Linked DNA regions of Saccharomyces cerevisiae S288C. The protein of the gene in region 3 interacts with the protein of the main gene of each other region in a biochemical or structural test. Each region holds a gene or a part of one and is shown on either strand. Other genes may lie near its edges.

What was found.
Region 1: the proteins of TUB1 (region 3) and RPG1 form a complex in vitro, tested with the Saccharomyces cerevisiae proteins (one study listed by BioGRID).
Region 2: the proteins of TUB1 (region 3) and KIP3 form a complex in vitro, tested with the Saccharomyces cerevisiae proteins (4 studies listed by BioGRID).
Region 4: the proteins of TUB1 (region 3) and BRN1 form a complex in vitro, tested with the Saccharomyces cerevisiae proteins (one study listed by BioGRID).

What each region holds. Positions count from the first base shown.
Region 1 is NC_001134.8:394,857-399,917, forward strand, and holds RPG1 (translation initiation factor eIF3 core subunit a), read right to left. Parts: upstream 3,422-5,061; coding exon 527-3,421; downstream 1-526. Other genes in the region: AAA family ATPase SEC18, read right to left, coding at 3,758-5,061.
Region 2 is NC_001139.9:83,029-87,862, reverse strand, and holds KIP3 (tubulin-dependent ATPase KIP3), read right to left. Parts: upstream 2,979-4,834; coding exon 561-2,978; downstream 1-560. Other genes in the region: ERMES complex subunit MDM34, read left to right, coding at 3,606-4,834.
Region 3 is NC_001145.3:97,418-101,160, forward strand, and holds TUB1 (alpha-tubulin TUB1), read right to left. Parts: upstream 1,984-3,743; coding exon 1,959-1,983; intron 1,843-1,958; coding exon 524-1,842; downstream 1-523. Other genes in the region: YML083C (uncharacterized protein), read right to left, coding at 2,377-3,633. UniProt on the Saccharomyces cerevisiae protein: Tubulin is the major constituent of microtubules, a cylinder consisting of laterally associated linear protofilaments composed of alpha- and beta-tubulin heterodimers.
Region 4 is NC_001134.8:38,825-43,597, reverse strand, and holds BRN1 (condensin subunit BRN1), read right to left. Parts: upstream 2,768-4,773; coding exon 503-2,767; downstream 1-502. Other genes in the region: MRX3 (Mrx3p), read right to left, coding at 1-321; BNA4 (kynurenine 3-monooxygenase), read right to left, coding at 3,071-4,453. UniProt on the Saccharomyces cerevisiae protein: Regulatory subunit of the condensin complex, a complex required for conversion of interphase chromatin into mitotic-like condense chromosomes.

The DNA.
Region 1 (5,061 bases), on a different chromosome or scaffold from region 3:
ATAAAATTTTAGTGTCGTTAATATCTCTTTTATTTCTTATTGTTACTATATTATTACTGTTTTGAAGTTCCAGTTTCATCAACTTTTGCTACCTTAATTAAAAGAACCACTCAGACTTTTTACCATCCTTTAGCTTTACCTAATATAATGAAATTTGTCTAAGTAACATAAAAAAAAGGAGTAAAGAAAAAAAAAAAATAAGTAAATGAAATAAAATATAAAAAAATTCTTACTACGGTTTAAAACAAAGTGCTCTTCCGCTAACGTTTCAAGTTTCTAAAGAATCGTTAGGGCCTTTTAACGGATCGCTTTTTTAAAACAGTAAAACGTTATTTATAGTTATTTATACCAACTATTTCTCGAAATTCGTTTTTAAAATAACTGCCATCTTTACTGCTCTTCTGCTCCTTCCTTTGACATGAAAAAGCAATCAGAAAGAAATAGTCTAATAAATTGTTATTATGTACACATACTCTTATACGTATAAAAAACGGTATAAATTAAGTAGATCATTTTGCGTTGTCTGTTACCTGCCCCCCTTGGCCAATCTCTTGGCTCTCAACTTTTCAGCCATAGTCATTTTCTTTGGACCAGAAGATGGAGTTGGGGTTGCTGGGGTTGCTGGAGTAGCTGGAGTAGCTGGGGAGGACCCACCAGCTGTTCTACCGGCTAGTCTCTGTTCGATGGCTTCTTCCATTTCTCTTTGTTTTTGAGCGATCATATCCAATTTAGCTTTATCTGGAGAAACGGTCGCCTTTGGTAGAGTGCTTGGTGTACTTGGAGGTTCCCTGTTTCCTGCGCGGAAAGAGTATGGAGTTGATTTCTTGGCAGCAGCTTCTTCGATTTCTCTTTGTTTACGGGTAGCCTCAGCGAGTTCTTGAGCACGCTTCTGTCTTTCAGCATTTGCAATTTCTTCCTTACGCCTTGCAATGGCTTCCTCGTAACGACGCTTACGAACTTCTTCAATTCTGGCCTTTTTGGCAGCTTCCAATTCAGCCTTCTTTTGGTTGCGGATGGCAGCTAATTCGCTTTCCTTAGTGCCCGAAACATGCTCCTTGAACTTCAAATAATCATCATAGACCATGACCAAGTTCTTACGATCAGCCATTCTGGCTTCGTATTCGGCCTTGGCGGCGTCGACAATTTTTTTCTTCATAGCTTCATAATTTGCTGTGTCTGTTTCTTGTAGCTTGTCAACTTCTTTTTGCAGCAATGGCAATTCGACCTTTCTCAAAGCTCTTTCCGTATGATCTAACTTCTTCATAGCATATTCCATACGACTTTCCAATTCACTCTTGTTCTTTGATACCTCAGCTATAATAACCTGTTTAATGGTGTCAAGATCTAAGCTTTTAGCTTCGTTAGGGTCAATGTAAACATGTCCCTTAGCATTCACCTCAGTAATCATCTTTGTGATTTCTCTTTCTTTGATAGCTTCAAATTCACGTTTCTTCTTTTCAATTAAGCGACGGTGAGCCTCTTCTTCCAATTTAGCTTCAATAGCAGCTTTTTCTTCCAAAATACGCTGTTGTCTGACCTCAGCATCCTGTTCAGCATGTAGGGCAGCATGTTCCATATGTTTTTGCTTTTGCTCTTGAGATCTCTTGACACGTTCGTCAACAATCTTGGAAATCTTTTCAAGGTCATCCTTGTTCTTCTTAATTAAAGTTTCACGGGCAATTCTAACCTTTTCCATGTATGAAGCATTGTTGAAACTGTCAACATCGTGTAGGACATTGGATAATTCAAGCAACTTGTTGTGGATGTAAGAATTGCGGATAATAACAGGATCAGATTCTTCTTCCTTTTCTTCACCGTCTTCAGTTTCTTGTGGCCCAAGAGCTTCGTCAGTTTCCTCCTTTTCTTCTTGGACTTCTGGCTCTGTGTTTTCTTCTTCAGAGACTTCTTTAGAAGCAGTTGATGCGAAAATGTCAAATGGATCTTTAGCGAATGTAACCTTAGCAGATTCATGATCGATGGTAATTGAAACATAATCTTCCACAGCAGCTTGTAACAGCGATTTTTCGATGTCCCAAGCAGATAAGTCTAACGGAGCAGGTAGGGTAGCGAGCTTGTATAATTCGGACTGGGAGACAGTAGTGAATTTTTGAGAGGCAGCAACAAAAACCCTTCTCATAATGACGTCTCTTAAAGGTGCGATGTATTGGCTGAAGTAGGTTTTAGAAGACAATTTGACTAATAAATTTTCCAGCTGTTGTTTCACTGTGTCGACATCAAAGTTAACTTCAATGATATCGTACAATTCTTTCAATTCCTCGTCAACTTTACCATAAATGGATTCGTCTTCAATAATGGATTGCAACATTTCCTTTCTAGTTGGCTTGGCGTCCAAGTTTAATAAACGGTACATACGTAAATGAGGATCGTAGCCAATAGATGGAATTTCGTCTAGTTGGGTAGAAATAGCGGATAGGAAAATTGTAGAAGAATATGTTTTGAATTCTTCTTCCGTGGCTCTTGGATTGGTAGAATATAACTTATAAAACTTCTTCCAGGCAGTAGTGTGCAACAATGGATCACCGGAAACAAAGAAGACCTTTACGAGATTCTCGTAGTAATTAGCCAAAGTAGATGGTTTAGGAGCACGTTTGGATATTTTCATTAAGTGGAAAACATCCTCAATGGATCTATAAGCCTCGTGCCACAATTCCAACTTGACAGAAACATCGACTTGTTGGAAACGTTGATCTAAATAACGTTGCAAGGTATCAGCATCGCTCAAGTCAACTAAATTGTTTCCTGATTTACTTTGTTGGTAGTTAGCAGCATCTAAATGTTGACGTAACATTTCAGCTAATCTCTTGAATTCGTTTTTACGCTGATACTTCAAACAGAAATGCATAGTTTTTTTAACGACACCAGAATAAGTAATTTCCAACAAAGCGTTGTTTCTCAATAAATCTAAGACTGCACGATATGATTCCCAAGTAAATCTTAACCATGAAGTAATGGCTTCATCATTGAAACCAGCCACAGATTGATCTGACTCGTAAACAGAAATCAGCAAATTTTCTGGGGTAACACCACCTTCCAAATCATCATCGATTTCTTGCTTTTGAAGTTCGTCAGCTCTAGTTTGTTCAGAAGCGATTTTAGATTCGACTAAATCAATGAATTTACGTGCAACGGCACCGACAGAAACCAAACCTTCGGTAGATCCTTGAATTAATTTTTTGTACTGGTGCAAACCGTCTTTTAGCAGCTTACCTTTCTTTAGTTCAACACCAATTTCCAAGAATTTAAACACGACTGGCTCAACAGTTGAAGGTGTAGCCCAACGGATTCTTCTGGCAGTTATGAAATCATGCAAAGATTGTAAAGCAGCTTGTTTTTCGCCAACAGAAATAAGTTCATCGGCTCTCTTAATGGCATTTTCAGGACGGAATGGTGGGGGGGCCATCTTGATGTTTCCTGGGCGTTTGTATGGTTTATTTTGGAACTCTCTCTATAGTTGTAAGTATATCTACTTTCGATTTAGTTCACCAAGAAAAATTTTTCACCTGGCAAAGCTTCTCGGGCAAAGCGACTGAAAAATTATCATCTTTACCCGGTGGGTGATAATTATGACAGGCAGATTCCAATGACAGAATAAAAGGAAAGGATGCCTTGGTTTTGATAATTTTATAAAATTTATCACTAAAATATATACCATAGAGGAAAGAACTTGTTCACTAGATCCTTTCTGATTGGAAGGGATAAAGAATAAAAATACAAGGACATGAAAAATTTGAAATAATTATGCGGATTGGGTCATCAACTCAACAAGCTCGTTCACGGGATCTTCATCGTGCCTTGCGGTTTCAATGTTGGTCAAGGTCTTTTTAATACCGACATTGAAGTTAGGACAGCTCCTTGATAATTCATTAATAACTTTAACTCTACCAGCATCGTCAAGAAAGTTTGATTCTATCATGACGTTGTTCAATTCATCTAAATTGGTCATATTTGGAACTGCTATCTCATTGTCGAAGCAACTCAAGATATCCATTTGTTGAAGTACCGAATAAGCTGATGTAGTAGTCATGATCAATAAACGACGGTCTTGTGGGGGTTTACGCTTCAATGCAACCTTTAGCATTTGTAAAATGTTATTAGAGAATCTTGGACCAATTGGTACCCAATCAACTAGAGTCTCTAACGAATCAATAACAAGAATGTTTAGTGGAGATTTATACGCATCTCTGAAAGTGTTATCAATATAGGCAATTTTTGCGCTTTCTGACATGCCTGACAACTCGTTGGGAGAAATTAACCTGATGAATGGGAATCCAGATTTTAAAGCAATTTCAGCGGCTAAAGCTGTTTTACCGGACCCTGCAGGGCCGTGGATTAATAGAGATACTAACCTGGATTTATCACTCTCGCGAACTTGGCGGACGTAACGGGCTCCGTTCTTCAATATTGAGTTAACTCGTTCGGAATAAAGCATCATTCCACCTTCCACACATGTTTTCAAATCTTCTTCACTAATCCCAAAAGCGGGAGTAACATCGTTGAGTGCATTTAAAAAGTCTTCTCTTGTTACTTTAAGTTTTGCTATATCTTTAGTGTTAAGTTTTGTGGCACCTTTCCCGATGTTGACGGTTTTGTTGATTGCAAAAGAACTTGCACTCTTCACTAAACCCTCAATCTCAGCACCAGAGAAGTTTTTTGTTAACGCAGCTAACTCAGCTAAGTTAACATCGTCGCTCATCATATTATTTTCCCTCATTTTCTTCGTCTGAATGTCGAAAATTTGGAGTCTTCCTTTTTCATCGGGTAAATGAATTTCAACTTGGACTTCAAATCTACCTGGACGCAAAAGAGCACTGTCTATTAAATCTTTACGATTGGTCATACCAATAACCAAAATATTATTCAATTGATCAACACCATCCATTTTAGCTAACAATTGATTAACTACATTGTCCCCTACACCGGTACCATCACCTCTTGAACCTCTCTGCTTGAAAACAGAATCCAGCTCATCGAAAATAATAATATGTAAGGAAGATTCCTCACCCTTGGCCCTATATTCTGCTTCTGCATCCTTAAATAAAT
Region 2 (4,834 bases), on a different chromosome or scaffold from region 3:
TAAAGCTGGTTTAAATGTGTGAAACGAAGTCTCTTCGAATACTGTAAAATAACCCCACTGAATATACACAAACACACAGAAAAAGGATTAAAGTTAATAAAAAAAAACGACTCGAAGACTTAAAGGCAAACCTTCAAGTAATGCAGTCTCTGTAAAAACAACAGCAAACACAAATTTGCTAAATTTTGCTTAAAAGAGTCTCCTGAGAAACGTTTTCTTTTAATTTGGGTCAATAAAGGAAATTAACCCAGTAAAAGGCTTTAGAGAAAAAAAAAAGGAAGAAAAAACGAGAACGAGAATCTAGTATATGATCCTTGTGCGTTTTTCTTAAAAGATCAATGATTTGTGGTGCTTAGTTTCTTTTAGAATCTCTTAGAAAGTAGGTAATGTGTCTAATGACTAAAAGCAATTATTCACTTTGAACCTTTTCTCGTGCCAAATAAATTCAAAAAAAAGAAATTAAAGAAAAATTTTTCCCGTAACCCGGAATTAATCAACATAAATGCGTTTAATGCTGGCGGAAAGAAGTTATATTCGATAGTTTACGTAGGATATGTATGTTATTTCCTGGCAGTGGCCAGTAGACTTTGATGAGTAAGAAGGGAGGAGCGCATCTTCCTTCTTGGAACCGCTGTAGTCGGAGCGGAGGGGGTCGAGGGCCCCTGCTCATTGAATGTGGTATCTTGCATACTTACGTCCACTTCACTTGCAATGGCGTCTTGATCTTGGTGTAGTTCTGGTTCTAGCTCCGGTTGTGGTTCAATCATAGGGCTGGGACTAAGGTCGGGACTCGTCCACTTTACTTTTTTTTGGGAAAAATTTTGCCGTTGTAGGGTCTCAGCGGGAACAGCCAAGTCAGCTGCCGTCGTGTTTATTATATTTATATTTGTGTTTGTAAAATTGCTATCGGGATTGGCGATAAAAGTTCTGGCAAAAGATTCAAACTCCTCGTCGATATGAACCAGGTCTTGAATTATGGATTCAATGTTAGGTGTCCTATTCATCAGCCACTTTGATAGAAATTTAAATCGGGAGTTCAAACCCGGATCTGACATTAATTTTTCTGTCATTATGGAGGAATTAACCAAGATTTCGTTTCTTTGTAATTCTGATATTTGATTTAAACACGACTCCAAGTACACCAGGTCGTAAGTTTCATCCCAGTCCTCCATCTCTCTTAACTTGTTCAAGTCAATGGAATGTACCTGATGAATGACGGAACTCAGAGTGTCGGTTTCATCAAATTTCATTTCTAACTCGTGTATTTTGTTATAAAGCTGACCACTGATCATTCGGCAATTACTAATCACCGGCTGCATCTCGGCGGCTGTACTTTCCTCCCGTTCAAATAATAGTATCAAATTATCCACTTCTAGCTTGACCATTTGCAAAAACCGCCTTTTACAAAGTATTAATGATTTCAAGGTCTTGGCTACTTGATACGTTTCCACTCCTGCATACGTTTGCTGAACACGATTGACGCACTCGTTAATGGCTAACTGGATCTTTTCTTTGTTTAGTTTGTATTTCGTTAGCTTCAAAGAAATCATCTTCTCTTCACGTTCGCGTAACTCTTCGATTTGTCGCTTTTGTTCCGTAATCATTTTCAAATAAGATCCAACGTGTCTACTCAAAGACTGCTGATTTCTGATTATTTTGGTCTTTATTTCTTTAGCACGATTTGCATATTTCAAAGTATTCAATGTCTCATCATAATGTGAACTGCTGGGCGATATGCAAACAATCATGACTGTTTTGCAATTGCCACCCAGTGAAAATTTCAACAGCCTAGTTAACTTGGAATCCCTGTATGGAATATGACAGCTTCTGCTGCCATCATTCAAGCACAACGCGTTAATGCAATTGCCCAGTGCTAGTAGGGATCTATTTATATTCGCACCTTCGTGTAATCTTATACCACGGTTTCTTGTTGCGGCGGCTCTTTCGCTCCCAGCTAGATCGATTATTGAAAGTGTAGCAAATGTATGTTGCGAGGTCAAGTCTACAAGCTTATTTGTCTGCATGATGTGTATTTGCAGCACTGCATGAGATCGTGAAGATACTTCGTTTGCTTCCGTCGGTGACGTAGTCCTGTTTATGTTTCCCTGGACAACTAAGTCCATCACATCTTCTACCGTATTTGGGTGGTGATACGACAAATTCGCCACTTTGATGTGGTTCTGCGTATCTTCTCTAATGACCAATCTTTTAGATGGTGTCTCTGGTTTCAAAAGGTCTCTGATTCTTTCATTGTATATTTCCAAGTAAGACAGTGAAATCTCGAAGTCTTTTTCGTCCTTCAGGTCTGTAATTTTATTGAATAGTTCCTCCATGGCTAGAAATATGATCCCCGGCTGTGAAGGTGTGCCACTCACAGTATATGTCTTGCCACAACCAGTAGCACCGTAAGCAAATACGGTACTGTTGAATCCATCTAAAACAGAATCTAGGAGCGGGCTGGTGGTCTCTTTGTATACACGGGCTTGGGAAGAGGTTTCATCAAACAATTTATCAAATACAAACTTGATTTCGCCACCGTGCCTTCGACGTTGCGAAGAAAATTTGTTCGTAGCATTGCTGTTATTGATAGAGGACGCAGTGGCCTTAGTGGCCCTTGCACGCATCGAGTTCAGGACCTGATCACTCACTTTGTTCAATGGGTTTCTATCAGCTGGGTCGAATATGAGCATTCTATCATCCACACAATCCACAATTTTACGTATACCCTCCGGTCTAATTACTTTTCTCCTCAGCAAGCTATTTCTTTTGCTCCGCGTAGAACCTTCTTCAGCGTCTATGTCTATATCGGAGTCGGAGTTATTACTCATGGGTAATATTAACGACGAATCCCCCAAACCGGGAAAGTTAGCTTCTGCACCACTAGCTTCATTGACCAATCTTGTTTTTTCCATTGACGTAAAGGGCCTTACTCTTATAGCTACGACTATGGAGGATTGTCTTGTTTCAGGCACGTTCATGTTAGTGTCAATAGTATACAGCTGGAAAGAAAACTCAAGTAGTTAAAGAATGCAATGAAATGATAATCAGATAAACGATGCAATCAGGGAATATGAAAATTTTAATATAAAAAAAAAAAAAGAAAAATCAACAGCTTCGAAACACTGATCTGGACTTTTTTAACCTGCAGATATTTGTTACACGCAGATTATAAATTTTGTCTCTATAGGAACAGCTGAACACTATACTGGATACCGATGTTCTACCGACCAGACGTGAATGTATCTGGTCCTTTTGTATCCAAGGATAAGACAAACCAAACCCATACTAAAGTCATCAAACAAGGCATAATACAGGTAAAATAAACAAAACAAAAACTAAAAACACGGCTAGCTAAGGGAAAAAGTAGTAATGACCTAGGGTGAATAGCTTTTTTCAATTAGGTTTTTCCTTTTTTGTACTATATTAAATAGGGCTAAACTGTTTTAAGCATAGGGCAAAGAACTTATAAATTAGGTTTGAAAAAGGGCCATGAAGCCTTGTAGTAAAAAGAGACCAATTAGAAGAGTCATGGAAGATTCGTAAAACATAGAAACAGTAACAATTATAACAAAAAAAACACAACTGCAAGAAACTTCAGCATCGTCATGTCATTTAGATTCAACGAAGCTGTGTTTGGTGATAACTCTTTCAATGAACGAATACGGGAAAAGTTATCTACGGCTTTGAACTCACCGTCTAAAAAGAAATTAGATATCTTGAAAAGCGGAATTAAGGTACAGAAGGTGGATTTTCCTACAATACCACAGCTAGAAATTCTGGACCTAGACATTATCACGCAGCCCAAGTCTCTGGCCAAGGGGATTTGCAAGATTTCATGTAAGGATGCTATGTTGCGGATACAGACAGTCATAGAGTCGAATCTTTTATTGATTAACGAACAGGATACACCCAGCTTTACCATGCCCCAGCTCATCAATAATGGATCGTTCACAATTCCTATAACTATGACGTTCAGTTCCATCGAGCTAGAAGCCATCACGAATATTTTTGTAAAGAACCCTGGAATTGGGATATCCTTTAATGACGTTGATTTGGATTTTAAGTTTGATTGTTCTGTAAAAATTCTCCAAAGCACCATTGAGAGAAGGCTAAAAGAGTCCATGCATGTAGTGTTCAAGGATGTTCTTCCTTCTTTGATCTTCAACACGTCACAGAACTGGTTCACCAATCGCGGCGAGAGCACCAGTACCATCCCTGGTAAAAGAGAGCATCATCATCAACAAACTACAATGTCTAGGAATGTAATCTTGGACGGATCAGATTTTCAAGAGCTTTCTCCAATAAACATGCTACGTCTTTCAAGCATTGTGTCGTCGAGGTCAACACTGTCACTACATTCCACTGTGATGAATTCTCTTTCCGCTATACCTGGTTGCTTGGAAAGACAAAACTTGTACAGATTTATATCAAGGATGCCCTCTTTAAACAATTACTACTCTTCGCAATCATTTCCACAACCAAAGTCATCAACCGTATCATCAAAACAATTGGTAAAGCCATTCTACTGTTCCCACAATCTATTACCTAAAACAGTGTTAGATTCCAGCCAGTACGATTTGGCTACGATAACCAAGATTCAGTCTCGACTTTTCGATAGGAGTAACAGCAACGACGACAATGCCAAACCAAGGAGAAGAAAGATCAAATGCAAAAAGACCCGCACACCATCGAACCTACAATCACAAGGAGAACAGGCTGTTGATGATAGTACTGCTATTGAAACAGTTACGTCCACACCGGTCCAAACACCGATACCCGAGCTTGAAGAACAATCTCCCCCATATTTGAAAACAACAGTATCGATAAGGGATAA
Region 3 (3,743 bases):
TTGTTTTACCTTCTAATGAATTTTAAGTTTTGAAAAGCAGAAAATCAGATATTGAAACTATAGATCTGCTTACCTTGAAGTTCACTATTTTTGGAATTCTCCTTGCTAATAGTTACTTCTACTCTTGCTTTGTCCTGGATATCAATGGAAGATGTCCTCATTTCCATTTTTTTTTTCAATTCGACGGCAAGGCGGGAGAAAAGGAACTAGGGATACAAAAATGCAATTACTAATGAAATCCGTGAAATAATCATGGAAATGGGTGATGTAAGAATCTGATGAAACAAGTACAAATGTCTTTGGCCCATCAACTACGATGAGACTTACTAAGCTTTCATCAAATGCAGGTTAGAGAAGGAGAATGGTTTTTTTTTTTATTTTTTGTACATAGATATTAGAGAAATATAATAAGTAGATTATAGATAAGATATCACCAAAGAGATATAACAGTAGGGGGAATTTTTTTTTTTACAATATACTTGAAATATAGAAAGGATAAGGAGGTTGGGGGCGAGAGTGAACCTTAAAATTCCTCTTCCTCAGCGTATGAGTCGGCACCCACTTCGATGTAATCTCTTTCTAAAGCAGCCAAATCTTCTCTAGCTTCGGTGAATTCACCTTCTTCCATACCTTCACCGACATACCAGTGGACGAAAGCACGTTTGGCATACATTAAATCGAATTTTCTATCGATTCTCTTCCAAGCCTCAGCAATGGATGTGGTATTTGACAACATACAGACGGCCCTATCCACAGTGGCCAATTGTGAGTTTGGTGTGGCAGTTGGAGGTTCGTAGCAAATACCGATCTTGAAACCAGTTGGACACCAATCAACCAATTGGACGGTCTTCTTGTTTTTCACCTGCTCGACAGCTCTTTGAACATCTCTTGTTACCACATCACCCCTGTATAACAGACAAGTAGCCATGTATTTACCATCTCTTGGATCACACTTGACCATCTGGTTACCAGGTTCAAAACAAGCGTTTGTAATTTCTGACACAGAGTTGGACTCATGGAATGCCTTTGATTTGGATAAGACTGGAGAATATGAAACTAAGGGGAAATGAATTCTTGGATATGGAACCAAATTGGTTTGAAATTCGTTCAAATCTACATTTAATGAACCGTCGAATCTCAATGATGCTGTAACAGATGATACCACTTGAGCAATTAGGTTGTTTAAGTTTGCAAAGCTTGGTCTTGGGATATCCAAGTTTCTTTTGCACATGTCGTAAATAGCCTCATTATCGACCATGAAAGTACAATCTGCATGTTCCAATGTAGTATGTGTAGTTAAAACTGTGTTGTAAGGCTCAACCACAGAAGTAGACACTTGTGGAGCAGGGTATACGGCAAATTCCAGCTTGGATTTCTTACCGTATTCAGCGGATAGTTCTTCCAACAGTAAGGACCCTAGACCGGAACCAGTACCACCACCAAGAGAATGGGTAAACAAGAACCCTTGTAACCCATCACATTGGTCTGCCAGTTTTCTAATCCTATCCAGAACATCGCCCAAAATTTCTCTACCAACGGTGTAATGGCCTCTTGCATAATTATTAGCCGCGTCCTCCTTACCACTGATCAACTGTTCTGGATGGAACAAGTCCTTGTAAGGACCGTTACGGACTTCGTCAATAACGTTGGGCTCTAAATCCACGTAAATAGCCCTTGGAACGAACTTACCGTAGCCGGTTTCATGGAAAAACGTGGAGAAACCCTCTTCTCCTCCCTTCGGCTTTGAAAGGCCATCTTCTAGATGTCCATCCGGCTTAATACCGTGCTCAAGGGAATATAATTCCCAACAGGCATTACCAATCTGACAACCAGCTTGACCGACTGTAAAGAGAAATCAAAAAAAAAAAAATTTTGCGTTGAAGTTAGTAATGAAAGATGAAACGCCAAAATGAACTAACAAAAAAAAGATCTAGCCTGGACGGGCAAATCGAACATACCATTAATACTAATAACTTCTCTCATTGTTTGTTTGCAGTTGTAAGTTTACAGATCTTGGGTGGCGAGAACTGTTGTAGACGGATATACTGAATTGGGTAAAACGATATAGTAGATGTTTTTGTTTTGTTTTGTTTTGTTTTGTAGTTTAGTTTTTCCCTTGGCTCGAGGCGTTTTCGCGTGGCATAACCCGGCCGGAAACTACGGTGATATTATCGTCTGGCACATATATATATATATATATGTAAACTATACTTATATTAATAGTTTCCGATCGTCTTATTACTCACTTACTATCAATGGAAGCACTATTTCATTACTTAAAAAATACTTTCTATTGCAGGATCTGAAACAGTCAGTTATAATGGAAAAAGTATGCAATTGTGTTTTCTTAAAGAAGGATACAGATATTTATATATGTTAGTTCCTCTGGAATATATCGCTAGATGCATTAAACATGAAGAAATTTGCCGTATGAATTATTCCTGTATGTACACCAAATGTGTCATGATCTTCTTGTTTCTTCAATGTGGCGCTGGCATTCGAGAGTGATGATGCTTGGTGTGAGCACTTGAAATGTCTCCTCTTTAAGAAAGACAATCCTATCCTTTCATGATCAAGGGCTTCTAAGGCGTCTCTCAATGCCAATTTCAAATCGGTAGGGTCTGACACGGTCTGGTAGCATTTATTAATGCAGTGGGTAAGGAAGAGGGAGGGCTTGATAATGTGGTTGGCTGAAATCGGATGGCAGTGCCCGCCATTGATAGACTCAAATTTTACTGTCTTCGTACAGTGGTTGAAGGTCAGTATGAGTTTTGACTCGCAGATCAAATGTATTTTGTACTTTTCAGGAGTCCTTGTTCTTTGTATACGCTTATTGCTGAGTTGCTCGTGAACATTCATCTCACAAACGAGTTCGTACTTGTTCTTATTGATTTTCTTTGTCCTGTAGATGAAACTAATGAATGAATATACTCTAACGAACTGCTCAAACGACAGGGTACATAGGAACTCGAAGGAGGATTTTGGATGCTTGAAAATAAAGTCCCTGAAGTTTAGAATGTTGTTGATATTTTCGATCTCGTCCTTGTTTACTGGATGGTGATATTCCTGTGCGCATGCAATTAGTTGTTTACCAGACCTAACTTTGCTCAATTGTGCCTTTGTTTTTGCACAACCAATGTAGTTTGGAATCTTCCTAATTAATTCCTCGGTACTATCTCGCTCAACATCACGGCCGCCGCCATTCCCGATCACAATTTTGGGCAGGATAGGATGTGAAACTCTGTCCTCTACTGTGCTGGGCACAGGCGACGGTGGTAGTTTCAAATCTGGCAGCTTTATGGCGACCGGGGCCAAAGGGGGTGAGGGAGCCGTTGCTTCAAACTGAGGTCTTGGGGAGGTCATAGGTGTGATAATAGGCATCATTGCGGCATGATTTCGTACAGCGACAGGGATAGTGACAACCTGTTGTGACCAATGGACGGGCGTATTTGTGCTCATAGAAGGCAATATGGGTGTTGGCAAGCACCTGGGGCTGGAGTACCCAAATGTCAGCGAATGTTGTTGATCTAACGCCAATATGATTGGGGGCAGAACGGGCGATAGGCACTGCCTGCCTGGAGGTGTTCTGGGAACGTGCGCCTGGTTGTTGTTATATACATGTAAATAGTCCATTGAGTCTTTACCAGGTTCTATCTTAACTAAAGAACTACTTCTACACAAGACTTAAGGCACCTTCATACGAAAACCCTCTCCACGATGGCGTTCAATCTTTCGTCTTTATA
Region 4 (4,773 bases), on a different chromosome or scaffold from region 3:
TCCTACATGATATTCCCTATGCCCGCTTGGTATTTTCTCACTGAATAAGACATGGTGCATCTTCTCATCCTGGGCCAACTTGTTGTAAACCTCGCTTTTCTCGATTTGAGCGAGGATGTCAACCCTCTGCAGCTCCATAGGTTGGCGGCTCTTGGTCGCACTAATCAACTCCGCTGGCGTTTGCGGATCATTCAATGATAGAACACCGGCATCATCGGGCCACGCCTTTACAAACGCACCAACTCCTAATGTAAAACCTGCCGTAGGCAAAATTACTGCCCTGTTGACTAATTTAAATAGAAATGGAATAGTTCTGGACATATTGGAACTCACCCTCGATCTATCCTGTCATTTGGTCATTGTCTATAAAAATAAATACCTTGTTTTATATCCACTTTTCGAAGCGGTCCCCTTTCGGCGATAAAGGATTTCGTAAGCCCGAAGGCTTTAAGAAACTTTGCAGCACAAAAAAAAAAAAAAAAAAAAAAAAAAAGATCATCAACTATGACGCTGCCTGTGTTGTCGCTAGATCCTCATAATTCACTATCAAGTCATTATAGTTTTCGGTATGAGTTATCTGCAACCCATGCTCATTGGCTAAGTGTAGAAGGCATATAAAACAAAAGCTTGTTGAAATGTCCTTTAGTGTATCATCCGAATACATTTTACTTATACCCTGAATGATATCAGAAAACTTGAGCTCCTTTGTTGATTCATCTTCTGTGTGGGTTTCACTGTCATTAGAGCTTTGTTCTCTATTTTTCCTACTGTCATGTTCTTGTATCAAATTGTTGATCGATCTCCATACGTTTTTCTTTAATCTTCTTACGTCAACTTTTTTCGAAACTCTTGAATAAGTAACTTTATTTTCTCGAATGGGGAACTTATGATCTTCGTCATCCTGTAAATCAAGTTTCACACTGGCCTCCTCGTTATCATCTGTTCCTTCGAAAGCTTGGTTGAAGTCAACACCGTCCATGTCATCTTCAAACGGATTATCGAGCGCTCCACCCACCACATCACCAACCTCTTTAGACTGCTCCTTTTCTTTTTCCTCTTGTTCTTTCCTTTCGTAATTATCCGCCCAAAAGTGCTCATCTGCAATAGTAGGAATGTCGTTATTTGAATGGTTGGCAGAAACTGTGCTTTTTTCAAAAAGCCCCGAACTAACGTCGCCTCTGGTATGCTTCCTATGACTGAACAGACTCATTTTCTGCCCCGGTTTAATGAACAATCTTGTTATTCTATCAGTGGAAAAATGGAAGTCATCCGGCAGTAAATAATGTGTGTCGTTCTTTCTGTTCTTAATCGGCATGTCAATCTTTGTCCTTCCTTTTGAGGCAAAGACTTTGTCTTCAAAACTATCATCCGTTTTGAAGAAATCAATTTCCAGAACCTTTTTTTGTTTATGCTTCTTCTTCGTATCCATCGATTTGTCGTCCGTTGTGTTTTTGTCAGTAGTATCTCCTATAGTAGTTCGCGTTTCTTCCAACAGGTCGGATTCTTTATTCACTAAGTTTGCTTTCTTAAAATTTCGTACTTTCCAATGTTCTCTCCCTCTCCAGTTTCTATTTAGATTTTCGTCAAAGTATGCCATCAAATCTTTTTCGAATATACTTCCTGTGGTACTGTTGACATTATCATCATCTTGTTCATCATGTGATGTATTGTCATGATTTTCATCTGGATAGCACAGCTCCTGTTGCATGCCCATATCAAAGCCATCGCTATCATCTTCTGCATTATCTGGGACAGCTGCTTGCAATTCTTCTTCAGTTAAGAAGTTATCAAATCTGTTGTTAACATTTTCGATAAAGTCTTTCGCTTGATTAATATCTTCGACAACGTTCCTTAGTTGCTCAATCGATCCTGAAATTTCACACACCGCAATTTGATCAAATTTTATAAAATCCATACCAAGAGATAAAATCTCATCTTCCATGGAAGGTGCACTAATAACGGAATCATTTACGGTTGAGTCATTACGAGTACTTATCAATGACTGGCTAGGTTCATTTTCGTCATCTACTAAACTATCTCTTTCAATTAATTCTTCTTCTTTCCTTTGAAGTTTACCTTGCCCTACGTTTTGTGTATCCTTAATTGATGCATCGAAAATGACTCTTGCAGTGTTGTCTATGTTTAATGTGTTCAACAATAAACTCTTGGCGCCACCTTCATCGAAATCAACCAAGGCCTTTTTGAATAATGGATCAATTATTAATTCCTGGTCTAGCTCTTTCATCTTGATCGTTTCGAACTCCACCAATGTTGTTTCTAAAACTCTGTTGTACACTCTCCGCCTAGTGTTATTCACATCAGGATCATTAGATATAGGCATACCAGTTAAGGGATCAATCTCTATATTTGCTTCGTCACTGTCACCTCCAAGCCCTTCACCATTTCCCCCGTTACTGTCATCTCCGTTAGATGCCCCATTCGTCTTTCTTTGTGCCAACCCGCTCAATAACTTACCTGTTTCCGTTGTCACTGAATCAACTCTCGAAGAGTAAATCTTAATACACCCATCCAAGGTTGCAGATGCTTTCTGAAAATTGATGTTATTCTCGCCATCTTTCAAAACGTCCAAGTCATAAAAATAGTCGATCAATGCGAAATTCCAACTATTTCGGGAATTGATTTTATTATCTGTAGCCATTTTGATCCATTCTTCAAAATTTGCCATCATGGTGGATCTATTGGTAAAGAGATTATATTCTACTCTTTCATCGTCATCGTTATTTTCATACCTTAGTTGTGTAGTCATCTTATATAACTACCTGCTGGTTTTTTTTGCTCCAAAAAGTCCACTAAGATGATTTTTTGGTGCAATAAATAGAGTATTTAACTAGCCAATATAAAAAGTTCAACCATATGGATATTATCTTGACAATACTTCACTAAAATGTAAACAAAGAAAGCGCGAACAGAGCCGTTTACCGTTTCGCGTGATCAACATCACATAAAATAATTAGTGTATTATATATATATATATATATATATATATGTATATATCACTTATTTTAATAATCCTCTCCTAGCGTACACGGATGGCAAGAATAAACTGGCTTCAGGAACGTTCTCTTGTCAAAAATTTGAAAAGCTTGTAACCGCCAATAGATAACATACCGAGTGTCAGAGATTCTAAGAATTTCAAGATACGTGTTTGCTTTCCAGCCCTTTCTAAAGCTCTAGAATACGAGATATCGGATCTGAAAGATATCATTGTATACAAAGGTATCCACTTATCCTTCATTATAATACTAAAGAGAGCATCTAGCTTTTTCCTTAATAAAAACCGCTTGGATGTAACGTCATGTGACATTTCTTTATAGTTCCTTTTTGCCAGCTCAGTAATAGAAACTAGGTCCTTATGTCTTGTTTGAGTGTACTCAGTAAAGGCTCTTGAACGATCTCCTGAATGCTTTTTCAATAGCGCCATAAGAATTCTCACATCTTCAAATCCGCAATTCATACCTTGGCCGTAAAATGGAACCATTGCATGGGCAGCGTCGCCGAGTAGGATGGCCTTTCCGCCTGGTACATCGTATGGCTTACAGTTTACACAGACAAGACTTTCCTTTGGATAAGTGATAAACCTTTTGACAGCATCGTCCAAATCCATAATATTAATAATATCGGGAAAGTTCTCGATTAAGAATTCCCTCACACGTGACTTGGAAGTTATCAGATCTGATATTTGATCTTTAGAACCGAAAAAGGTTGAAGTGAACGAGCCGTCACTGTTGGCGAGCGCAATTAACATGAATTTATGACGAGGCCAAATGTGCAAATGGTCAGGAGCTATTGCAAAATTTCCGCCATAGTTTGGCTTGAATTCCTCAGTAGGCGGGATGTAAAGTTCAATGTAACGTAAATTCATATATTCTTGTGAAAAATCCATCTCAACTTTACGTTGCATTTGCGATCTCGTCGCAGAGTATGCTCCGTCACAACCTATGACAAAATCATACTTTTCAGTATGTGGGGTTTTCAAATCTTCCCCAATGGCAAAATGACAGATTTGTTTATCATCTGTCCATTCGATTTTGACTAATTTGTGACCGAACTTCAGTTCTGTTGTAGATTTTTCTAATTCGTCCAAAAGGCTATTATTTAATACAGATCTATTGATAGAATTAATAGCTTCTCCATGCAAGCCATACAATTGTGATTCCTGTCTGCCTTTCAAGTCATGAATCATCCTGCCTTTCATGGGAATCATATCTTGCAGAATATGTTCACAAGCATCCGGATCTATTGATTTCAGAGCATCAATGCCACGAGCAGAAATAGCCAAATTAATGGATTTCAAATTTTTATTTTTGGTGGTGTCCAATCGAGGATCTTGTCTAAAATCATATAGTGTGACATTGTAGCCTTCTTTGGAGAATGCCAAAGCTGCAAGGCAGCCTACTAATCCTGCACCTATAATGGCCACTGATTCAGACATATTTTCAAGTTAAACAGATTAACTGACTACGTGATTTTTTAACTGTCATTCAATATTTTATTATTAAAAACAACGTCCGTGCCAGAAATTCGGGCCTTTTATAAGAAATAGTGGCGGAAAAAAGAGTCAGTGCTAAGAATGGAATAAACTAGAGGCTATTGTGGGAAAAAAAAAAACAACTCCAAAATAAAAACCGCTTGCAGGCGATATTTCCTTATTTTTGTAGTAACTCATTTCCTTAGAAGAAAAGTAGGGGCATTATTTACCATAAGAATAATAATAATATATAATAATCAAAATAAAAAAATTCTAAGATATTT